2 linked regions of the Caenorhabditis elegans genome follow. The protein of the gene in region 2 interacts with the protein of the main gene of each other region in a pairwise test. Each region holds a gene or a part of one and is shown on either strand. Other genes may lie near its edges.

Region 1 (5,713 bases), on a different chromosome or scaffold from region 2:
CCACTATATTTATTGGCTACACATTATTGTTATGTAATAAAGCTGGACCAGGAAAAATAGTTTATGTAGTTTAATACATTACTAAACTATTAGGTCAAGGAATAAGTTTTGTCGTTTTTTCTCAATTTTGATTTTTTCTCAAATGTTTTTTTTTGTAGTTATATAGAAGACTGGTAGGAATGACAAGCCTATCAATATCAGTCATATCAGACACCTTTAAGAATATATCCAGCTCAAAACTGTGACAACGAAAAAAAAATTTTTTTTTTCGATTTTTTTCATTTCTTTGTGAAATCAAAAAGTTTACATGCCTTGAGGTATTAGACAGTTAGTTAATTACAATTGAGCAATAACAGCTCCAGACGCCCTTTTTTGGTAGCGCTAGATATGTTTAAAGTGCCAAAAGAGCTAGATTACAACATTATTTAACAAACGCATCAATAGCTACATTTTATTAGTTGATCACTTCTTTGAATATGCACTGGTTGCTGAGCTACGATGATTTTTGTGGAGCTGGTCCAATTTTTCAAAACCCTTTTCTATTCACTATATGACCCGTAACTCCAAAACCAGTTGACCGATCGAAAAATGAACAACTAACAAAACATTTATCTGTTTATTATAAACATTTCACAATTTAAGTTTTTTTTTAAATGTATCTCTTGCGGACAACGATATGAGTCACTTTAGGAAATGTGTGAAAATTTGAAAAAAATTTCGAAAAAACATTCAAAAAAAATTGAAAGGAAATTTTTTCTTAGATAAACTTCTAAATACTTTTGAACAATACTGTGTACCTGCTAACTAAAAAATTGCATTTAGTTTTCCTAGTCTACGTTACTTTTTGGGGGAGAAAAATTCAATTATTGAACAATTTTCCTATTTTTTCAAAAACTACGAGTATTATTTTTTTAATGGCTATTAACTTTGCGAACATAAGTAATATACAAAATGTACAAATAATTAAATGTTTATAATAAACAGATAAATGTTTTGTTAGTTGTTCATTTTTCGATCGGTCAACTGGTTTTGGAGTTACGGGTCATATACTGAATAGAAAAGGGTTTTGAAAAATTGGACCGGCTCCACAAAAATCATCGTAGCTCAGCAACCAGTGCATATTCAAAGAAGTGGTCAACTAATAAAATGTAGCTATTGATGCGTTTGTTAAATAATGTTGTACTTGATTACTTTTTTGTATCTTTCACGTGCTTCAAGTTAACGCTGCTCAAAGTTAAAAAAGTCATTTTTGCAGGCACTTTTGGCACTTTAGACACATCTAGCGCTACCAAAAAAGGGCGCCTGGAGCTGTTATTGCTCAATTGTAATTAACTAACTGTCTAATACCTCAAGGCATGTAAACTTTTAGATTTCACAAAGAAATGAAAAAAGTCGAAAAAAATTTTTTTTTTCGTTGTCACAGTTTTGAGCTGGATATATTCTTAAAGGTGCCTGATATGACTGATATTGATAGGCTTGTCATTGCTACCAGTCTTCTATATAGCTACAAAAAATATATGAACCAACTCCGTCACATTTGCGGTCGCCGGAGCCGTGGGAATGACTATGCTTCATCATTCATCGAAAATCCGTGCAAATTGTCGCTTTTGGAAAACATTCCGCGCTCTAGTTGCCGCCAAAAATTTGTCGCTCAAGGTGTCCGTGGGGAGGGGATGGAAGCTAATCCAGTTTTAGTTTCAGATTCTTCTGTTTTTGGTTTTAGTGCTCCAGATTTGTCAGCTTGTGATTCTGTTGGTTCTCGATCTGCTCGTGAAGTGTTCTCGTCGGTTGCCGGCAATGCTCGGAATGCTACTTGTGCAAATATAACTACGATTCATGTCACGGAGAGCAAGAGTTCGTTGAAGAAAAGCCACAGAAGACGTCGCCGTGTGGCTAAGAGTCGCCAATCATATACTGCTGGAAGTTCGCCAATCAAAGAAACCCATCTGGACCCCCTGCTGGAATCCGATGTTGCGAGTGACGGCGAGCGTTTACAACCCGGCATCCTCCTGTGTCATTCTCTTCGACAGAGCCACCCACGACAAGTTGTGCGAGGATCAGCCCCAAACACTGATCATGCCTCCACTCGCCGCAGAGGTCGAGATACCGCCTCTGGTGGTGATGCCCCTAGCCCAGGCATAATTTCTGGCTTTTTGTCATATAAGAGGGGAGATGTTGTGGACGGAACGTAAACCTGAACTTTATACAGACGTGACCTTTGGGTCATCATGAACTTATCGCGTAAGCGACCTCTCTTTATAATTCATTACTTCTTACACTTCTTGTAATAAACTACTTCTCTCCTTGTCTCTCGCTCAATACACAACAGTTCATTGTTTTATCGGATAGCCTGTGAAAACATGAACCTTCCCGGCTAACTGGTGTTGCTGTGTTTTTTTTTTTGCAAATCGATAAATGTATTAATTAGCGATGTACCTGAAAATCCGAACAGATCAAGATGAAAGTAACATCTGCTCTTTTCCCACATCTTCCTAGTTCATACTGGTCCCGCCTACATGGAGTACGACACCTGGTCAATTTGCGCGTTCTGTTTCCCTTTATTGGGGTCTCTCATTTTTTACACAATATTCTTGTTTTTTTCACTTTATTTTTTCTTTTTTTTTTGGTTTTTGAATATCCGTGTAATATTATTATTTTACAGAAACTCGTTAAGTCGATTATGTCCAACGTTCCAAAGGCAGACAGTTATTTGGAGAGACAAGAGCATGGGTTAGTATTTTTGAATTTAATAACACTTTTGGCTCACATTTTGTTGAAATTGTCAAGTTCATTTTTAAATGTTTGCAGTTTTTTCAAGATTTCCCAAGCCTAATTGGAAGATTTTTGGAAGATTCATAAGACTATTGGAAAGTATTGGAACCAAATCTTCGGACCGAGAATTTGAAAATCTAAACCTAAGGAACTAAGCCTTCGTGATCCAAGCCTAGGGACCTAAGCCTACAAATCTAAGCCTAGACGACTAATTCTTAAGACAAAAGCGTGTTAATCAAATCATAGGGGTCTAGATCCAGGGCTCCTGTGGACATATGCCTCCGGATTTAAGCCTAGGGACCCAAACTTGAGAACTAATCCTAAAAACCGTGGACTGAAGACTTAAGCTTAGTAGTCCGAACTTGGGAAGTAAGCCTGTGAATTTAGGCGGCCAAGGTATCTAAGCCTAATAGTAAGGGACCTAAGACTAAAAACCTAATTCTAGAAAATTAAGAATTTGCGCCTAATCATAAATGCTTAAGCCTAGGAACCTAACGGACCCAAGCAAAACGATCTAATAGTAGGCCTATGCACCTAACCCTAGGGGCCCTACTGAGCTAAACTTAACGATATAAGCCGAGAGACATAAGCCTAGTGACCTCTGAATTACACTGTAAACAATCCATAGATCCACTTTTTCAGTTCAACTCTCTCCGAATTCATCCAATCCTTCGAGGAACAATACAACATCAGCATCCAAGAACTGATTGATCTTGCGAAAACTAAGTAAGTATCGAAAACTTTTTGAAACTATTATATGATCCTAAATTTCAAATTTCCAGTGCTGCCACCACCAAAAAGAGCACAATGTCCAGTGAAATTCAAGAAAAACTGGATATTTTAAAGAAGCAAGATGATCAACTCCGTGATGCTCTTGACGAGGAGCTGAAATTTCTTGGAAATGATGATCCACAGGAGCTTGCTGGTACCAATAAGGAAGTTACAGTGGATGATGCCTTGAAGTCGCCCGAAGCATCTGATGATTCGGAGTCAGATGCATCCGACGAATCAGAGTCAGAATCTGAATCCGAGGATGAATCGGAGTCGGAGGGTTTTGACGAATCTGAAGATGAAGAGGAAGTACCAAAGGAGACGGGTACATATGCCTTTGAATCAAAGCCCGAAGCTTTAGATGATTCGGAGTCAGAAGCCTCCGACGTATCAGAATCTAAAGATGAATCGGAGTCAGAGGGTTCCGACGATTCTGAAGACGAAGAGTATGTAGAAGAGACGTGTACAGATGCCTTGAATCAATTGGAACCAGAGTCCGATGCGGCTGATGAATCGGTGGAAGAAGAGGAGGAGGAAGACGAGGATTCCGATGATTCCGATGATTCCGATGACTCCGAAGAAGAGGAAGCAGAAGGATCAACCGCCCAAGCTCCAGCAGAAAAAGCAAATTCGAGCACAACCACGACCGACCAGAACATAGGAGAGCTAAGCGACATGGAAGTCGCGGGACTTGTGCTCTTAGGGATTTTGATGATTTTACTAATGGTCTTTTTTTAATTCATTGGTTTTTGTTTGAATTTGTTTGAAATTGTTTTGTTTTCAAAGTTTCCATGTTTTTGTTCAATCAGCAATAAATATGCATTGCTCGCAATTTTGGAGTTATCTTTAAAATGTCTTGTTGGTTTAAATGCTCCTAAGCCTTCATCGATTTACACTGTCAACTTTGAAATAAAAACGCCTTGTGAGGTGTCCAATCTGTGATTTCCTCGAATTGAGTGGGAAGATCACACGTAAGAAATCTCAAAAGGCATTTTTTTTTTGGATTTAGTAAGAGTATAGCTGTGAATAATAAGTTGTGGAGTTTCGAGGCTGTATGTGTCACGTTCTAAAATCAACAAGTCCTAATTAGCCTTTGCACTTTGCCTAGTGATGAGCGACAAGAGATATTCGTGAGGTACGAGAGATATCAAAACTAATGACAGCTTTGGACTTTGCTTATTTAAAACTTGTGACTTGAAGCTGAAGTTTCACGTGGTGTCAGGCTGTCCCATTACGGCTTGATCTACAAGAAATGCGGGAACTTTTCTCCCAGACCATGCGCAATCAGTTGAGAACTCTGCGCCTCTTCTCCCGCAATTCTCGTAGATCAAAACAAAATGGGACTTTCAGGAGTTTCAGGAGAAACTTCAGGTTTTTTATGACTCAACTGCTTGAAAAGTTGAAGTTGCACTATCCAGTAAAGCTTAATGCCGAAAAGAAAACCCGCTACTGAAATTGTTAGGTGCCACAGTTAGACATACTTGGGACCTTTTTGACGAAGTCTTGGAGTTCTGCAAAACTGCAACCTAAAGTGTGACCTTCCTTAAGAAGAAAAGAAAAGCCTGTCGAGGTTTCCAAACTATGATTTTATCAGTTTGAGTGATAAAATCATGGCATGAAGACCACAAAAGGCCACTCTTTCCAGTAATCAGCAGGGGTAATAGCTAGATATGAATAATAAGATATGGAGCTTCAAAGCTCTGTGGTTGTGGAAAAGAGAGACGCAGAAAGTGCTAGAGTCACGTTTCAATCAATGAATTTTAATTAGTAACGAAAAAGTAACGACGTGATAAGGGATAAGATATGAGGAAAAGAGTGAGATTTGCTGCTGGGTTATGTTATAATGAACAATGCAATCCAGATCCAGAATACGTAGCTAGAATTTGTGTGAGACATGAAAAATGTTGAGAAAAAATTTCATTGTATTTGAAAGCTAGGGGGCGTGCTTTTATATAGTTTATCGGATCATTTGATAGTGGTGAGGTGACAATCTGAAAAAAAAACAAGATTTGAAATTATTCAATTTCCTGATAAAAACCAATTTTTTTGGCCAATTTCCTCAAAAAAAAGGTTTTTTTTATTTCAAAAAATTCAATTTCAACATTAATGAAATTTTGTGAAATCTGCTAATTGGCATGTTTTTCATATCAGAAACCCAATTGAAATCTAT
Region 2 (5,842 bases):
AACAAACTAAAATCTACGCAGTGACGATGATTTCCATCTTGTTTTCCAACATTTTTAAAGGTCACGTTTTTTTTTAAATTAGACATTTTCTTAGAATTAATTTTTGATGAGAAATTCAAGGGAAATTCAATTTTTCAGACAATTTTTAGCGGGAAATTCAAAATTGCATTCAATTTTTTAGCAGGAAATTTGAATTTCCAGTTAATTTTTAGACTTTTTTTTACAGTCAAAAACTGATTTCTTAGCGGTACTGTACTATTACTATAAGGCTTTTGACTGTAGACATACCTCGTGAATAATCTCCGCCTCAGTCTCGTACTTTTCAGCTTTTTTCAAAAGCTCCCGAGCTTTTTTGTAATTTCCATCTGCCTCAGCGGCGTAGGCGTCCTAAAGTCCAAAACTGTAGGTGCACTACCTGTCTCCGCCCCCTTTCGCTCACCCTTCTCGCCTGCTGAGCCAACCCGTCAAGCCAGAATTCGCGGAGGGTCGGGTCCAATTCCATCTAACATTTGCCGATTTTTGAGCGGGGCTAAACCGAAAGAAACCCTACCTCATCGTAAAAATTTTTTTCAGACATTTTATAGCTGAAAATTTGGAATTTTAAAGAGAAAAAACACCTTCTGAAAAAGACTCACCTTTAGAAATCAGGAAAACATTGAAATAATTTCAAATCATCATTTTTGTTGGTAATTTGGGTTTAACGTGAAATTTCATTTTAGAAAATTTGTTCTGAGCCATTACTGTAGGCACGAAGAATGCCTGCCTGTAGGTAGGCAGGCCTGTATGCTAAAAATGTTTGCTTCAAAATTGACTTTTTTGTTTTAGAATGCACAATAGGGTAAGCTCTTATTTGACCAAGATTAGTCTTGGTAGGCGAAAAAATGAAACCAAAAAACAATTCTCTAGTAATTTTTTATATCAACAAGTAGAATTTAGTTCTCATAGAGTCCATTGAAAAGTTTCGAAAAATCGATTGGCGCCAAGTACAGAAGAATTGCAAGAACAATTGGAACAATGCAGATGAGAGCGAATTTTGGAACTGATGAAGTTATCTGTGGAGAAGTAGTGACGTCATCCATCTCATCAGTCTCGAGAATTTCAGATTCGAGGTCCGAGTCGGTGCCATCATCGCTTTCAGGCTCAGAAGTGGGGCTGTTTTTGACGTTCTGGAAAAATTCACAAAAATTGAGGGCTTAAATTTATGCTTAGGCTCAGGCTTAAGTTCAGGCTTAGACTTAGGGTTAAGCTTAGGCTAAGGCTTAGGCTTAGACGTAGGCTTAGGCTTAGGTTTTGGCTTGATCGTAGGCTTAGGCTTCAGCTAAGGCTTATTCCCTCGTTTTTTTTTGATAGACCGCAGACAGTTAGAGTGTTTTACTGTCTACGGTCTCTCGCCCCTCTCAACACTTACTTCGTCATTATCTGAATCATCCGCCACCCATTGGCCAATTATCTCGTCTTCCATTTCGATCTGAGAATATGAAAGTGAGAGAAGTAAAGCGAGGTGAGAGAAACAGAGAAACGAGATACTATCGTCGTCTGCGCTCTCTCTCTCCTCCTTTCCTCTCTTGGAAAAATAGCCGTAACTCTGTCAGTTTTGAAGCAAAATCTACAAAAGCTATATTATCATAATCAGGAAAAGCTCACCTTTCTAAAATACATAATTGTGTCTTTGACTTCCGGGTCAAGACCCTCCAAATCCGAGTTGCGAAGATTCAAAATTGCTTGATGAGCATTCTGAAAATTCGTCTTGTAGTTCTAGAAGTTTTGGGATTTTTTAAAATCTCTTACTTGATCCAATTTCAGCATCATTAACATCTCTTGCTCTTCCTCCGAAATTTCCTGTAATTCAGTTACATCTAAAAAAAAAAGCTTTTTTGAAGCCTACCGCGCCATTCTCGTCTTGCTCCACAAGTTTTTCCAGATTTCTCAGTTTTTGCAGCGTCTGAAAATTGGATTTTTTGTTGTACAAAATACGGGTTTTTAGTCTAAACATTTTTTTTCACTCTGAACAGTTTTTGAATAAACGTAAAAATTTCGAAAAAAATCGATAATTTTCAAAAAAAAATTTGTGTATTGAGTTTTTTCCAAATTTTCAAAAAAACATCGCTAAAAATCGATAAACGTAAAAATTCTACAAAAAAAATAATTATTTCCAAAAAAAAACCGAAAAAATTATCGATTTTTTAAGTTAACATTATAATTAATTTCTTAAAAATCGATAAAAAGTGTGAAAAATCAATTTTTTTGGAAAAAAAAGTTAATGATTTTTTTCCAAATTTTCAACAAAAAAAAACCGAAAAAAAATCGATAATTTCCAAAAAAAAAAACACTAAAGCTCTAGTTAATTTCTTAAAAATCGATAAAATGTGTGAAAAAAATCCATTTTTTTTGGAAAAAAGTTATTGATTTTTTCTCAAATAACGAGAGCGCAGACAGTTAGAGTGTCTAGCTGTCTGGGCTCTCACTGCCTCAACTAACCGCCTTCTGTCTCTCCCGGCACACATCAATTCTTCTCATAACCTCCGCCATCTTCTCATAATTTCTTCGCTGCTCGGCTTTCGGCAAAGTCTGAAAAGAGCCGTTTTACCGAAAATAAGGGCTTCCATGTGAGAGCGGCCGACAATTTCGGGGTTCCCGCGCCGCTCTGTACATGTGTCACGAGTGGCAGCGTGAGGCGGCGCCAAGTAGTGCAAAATTGCAGTTAATTGGCAGCGGCCGATGCTTTTGGGGTTCCGCGCCGCACTCTATACATGTGGCTTGGAATGTGGCTTGTTGAGGCGCCTCGAAGGCCGGCTCCCACATAGAAGCCCTAGCTGAAATTTAAAAAAAACCATACCATATCCATCCAGTATTCAGAGTTTTCCATCAGCTGAAATATAGTCAGTTTTTGGGCGCAAAACTGCAAAAAATGCAAACTAACCTCGTTCAGAATATCGTCCCAAGTCTCATTTTTGTATTTTGCAGGAACTGCTTGTCCAGTTTTTGGCATTTTACTCGAAGCAACCGTCAAAAATCGAAATAAATTTTTTTCAAATTTAAAATTCGAGAAAAAAGTTCCAAATATGCCCACGTGGATCCAACAAACTCCCTATTTTTGTTAAAATTCTGGTTCACGTTAAAAACTGCAGTTAAAACTGCAGTATCTACATAATTACGCAAAAGTTACTGTATGGGTACTGTAGGCGTACTGTAGGGGTACTGTAGTGGCTAATGTAAAGGAACAGGTTTTACTGTAGGAGTAGGATATAAAGTAGTGGTACGATGAGGGGTACAGTAGAGCCACTTTAAGGGTACTGCATGTATACTGTAGGCCTGTAGAAGTACACTGTAGGGATACTGTATGGGTACTGTCGGAGCTAATGTAGAGCCACTTTCAGCTTATTGTAGGGGTACTGTACTGGTACGGTGAGAATACTGTAGGGGTCCTGTAGGTGTGCATGCGCGTTTATTAACTAAGAACAAAAACATTATTAAGATTATAGACGAAATAGAACAAAATCGTTAAAAGCACCGGAGAAGAAATTAAGATCATCAGTTGAAAATTGGAGAATTCTCGCGAAATTCGGGATGCTTTCCAGGTTTGAGCAACTTCCTGAAAAATCTTTTTTAGTACTGTAGGCAAAGTGCAGAGTTATTGTATGGATACGGAAGGGGGGGGGAGTACTGTAGGGGAGGGGTACTGTATGGGTACTATAGGGGCACTGTAGGAACGCTGGGTTTGTGTAGGGGTACTGTAAAACTGCCCAACGACTACTGTAGACGACATACCTCGTGAATAATCTCCGCCTCAGTCTCGTACTTTTCAGCTTTTTTCAAAAGCTCCCGAGCTTTTTTGTAATTTCCATCTGCCTCAGCGGTGTAGGCGTCCTAACTAACGTAAACTAACTAACGTAACTAACGTAAAGTCCTAACTGTAGTGCACTCTACCTGTCTCCGCCCCCTTTCGCTCACCCTTCTCGCCTGCTGAGCCAACCCGTCAAGCCGGAATTCGCGGAGGGTCGGGTCCAAATCCTTCTGAAATTTGCCATTTTTTGGGCGGCGCTAGGCGGAATGAAACCCTACCTCATCGTAAAAATTTTTTCAGACATTTTATAGCTGAAAATTTGGAATTTTAAAGAGGAAAACCTTCTGAAAAAGACTCACCTTTAGAAATCAGGAAAACATTGAAATAATTTCAAATCATCATTTTTGTTGGTATTTTTGCGGGTTCACGTGAAATTTTATTTTATCATATTTATTCTAAACCTTCACAAACTATGCCTGCCTGCAGGTAGGCAGGCCTGTAGACTACAAACACTACAAACTACACAGAAAATTTATTCAGAAAAAAAAACCGATAAATTAAAATCCCAAAAATTCAATAATTTTGAGCTCAAAAAGAGCAAAATACAAGACGAATGCAATGAAAATCGGAGCAATGAGCCAAAATTTAGAAGTCCGTGACGTCATCATTTCCACAATTTCCGTGTCATTTTGAAGATTTTCAGAATTTTCAGACAAATCCGAAAACTCGTTTTCCTCTTCTTCGCGTGGATTACACTGGGCTTCCTGAAATTTTAGATCAATTTTTGGCGGTAAATTCAAATTTTCAGTCAATTTTTTCAGCGTGAATTTCAAGTTTTCGGACAATTTTTGGCAAGTTCTGTGAAATTCAGTAAAAAAAAACAAGAAAAAAAAATCACCTTCTCCTGAAGCTCACTCATTTTAGGCAAAGCTCTGAAAATTCTAATCAGAAAAAACTTGTAAATATCGATTTTTTGTTTTAAATGTTTTAAACTGAAAACATGTTCACGTAAAACAAAAGAATTAAATTCAATTTAAAAACAAAAGAATTCATTGAAGAAAGCCCAAAAAAAGCCAATTTAAGTGAAGAGCCAATGTGGATGTCGAATTTTTGAGCAAGTAGAGTATGACGTCACATCTGAAAATGAGATATAATAGTTTTAGATTTTCAGATTTTTCTTTCAAGTACCTGATCACCGCAAAATTGCAAAAAATTGAAAAAAAAAAATTTTGTTCCCGTTTTTTCTATTTAATAGAATTTACTAACTTCTCAAGTTTACTAACTTCTCTTGCCGGAAATTTTCAATTCGAGCAACTTGCCGATTTGCCGATTTGAGGTTTGCCAATTTGCTGGAAGTTTCTAAAAGGATTTTTCAAAAGACGGTTACCCTTAAAACTGTGCTTTTTCGAAATTTTTTTCTATTTTCTCTATATATTTTAATAGAAATTACTGACTTTTCAAGATAGATGTAAGGTTATTCATATGTTGTTTTTTAAACTTTTAAATTTGAAATTCCGAAATTTCAGGGCGAAGGTGTAAGCATGCCGTTTTCTGGTAAATCAGAAAACCGGCAAATTGCCGGTTTGCAAGTTTGCCGAAATTTTTCAATTTTGGCAATTTGCCAACTTTGACGTTTGTCGCCCAGCGTACACCGCCACAAGAGGAGGAGAGTCAACTTATTGATTAGTTTTCCCACGTTTCGGGTGGCCCCTGCATACAACAACACCTCCCCCTCCACCCGAAAAATAGCGCATCCATCAAGAATCGATACTTTTTTTTGATTCTCCTTTTCTAAACAGCCTACCTACCCAAATTGCTATTTTTTCTTCCAAAATGCTATTCATTGAGCCAAGTTTTGAAAAGCTCAACGCCGAAGCGTTTGGAAATCCAGTTGTGCGTAAGCTCTCGACTGTAAATGTCTTGGCTCTGACAGCTTTCGGTCTTTCTATGGTTATTCTCAGAGACGTTTTTGAGCTCGATTTTCTTCTGATGAATACAGTGGCTGTTACAGTTGGTAAGTCTTTATTAATTTTGAAAGTTTTAGGCTTAAGCGTAGGC

Evidence for each region. The genes of interacting proteins can lie anywhere in the genome.
Region 1: the proteins of W04E12.4 (region 2) and Y71A12B.11 interact in a two-hybrid assay, tested with the Caenorhabditis elegans proteins (one large-scale study listed by BioGRID).

The regions. Positions count from the first base shown.
Region 1 is NC_003279.8:13,975,767-13,981,479, forward strand, and holds Y71A12B.11 (RNA polymerase sigma factor RpoD), read left to right. Parts: upstream 1-2,663; 5' UTR 2,664-2,680; coding exon 2,681-2,730; intron 2,731-3,414; coding exon 3,415-3,498; intron 3,499-3,554; coding exon 3,555-4,281; 3' UTR 4,282-4,364; downstream 4,365-5,713.
Region 2 is NC_003283.11:19,740,812-19,746,653, reverse strand, and holds W04E12.4 (Kinesin-associated protein 3-like), read right to left. Parts: upstream 3,013-5,842; 5' UTR 2,990-3,012; coding exon 2,921-2,989; intron 2,870-2,920; coding exon 2,837-2,869; intron 2,569-2,836; coding exon 2,479-2,568; intron 1,943-2,478; coding exon 1,886-1,942; intron 1,840-1,885; coding exon 1,789-1,839; intron 1,735-1,788; coding exon 1,645-1,734; intron 1,469-1,644; coding exon 1,409-1,468; intron 1,167-1,408; coding exon 933-1,166; 3' UTR 901-932; downstream 1-900. Other genes in the region: W04E12.5 (TPR_REGION domain-containing protein), read right to left, coding at 289-387, 440-502; W04E12.3 (uncharacterized protein), read right to left, coding at 4,342-4,548, 4,683-4,703; W04E12.2 (Cytochrome b561 domain-containing protein), read left to right, coding at 5,618-5,798.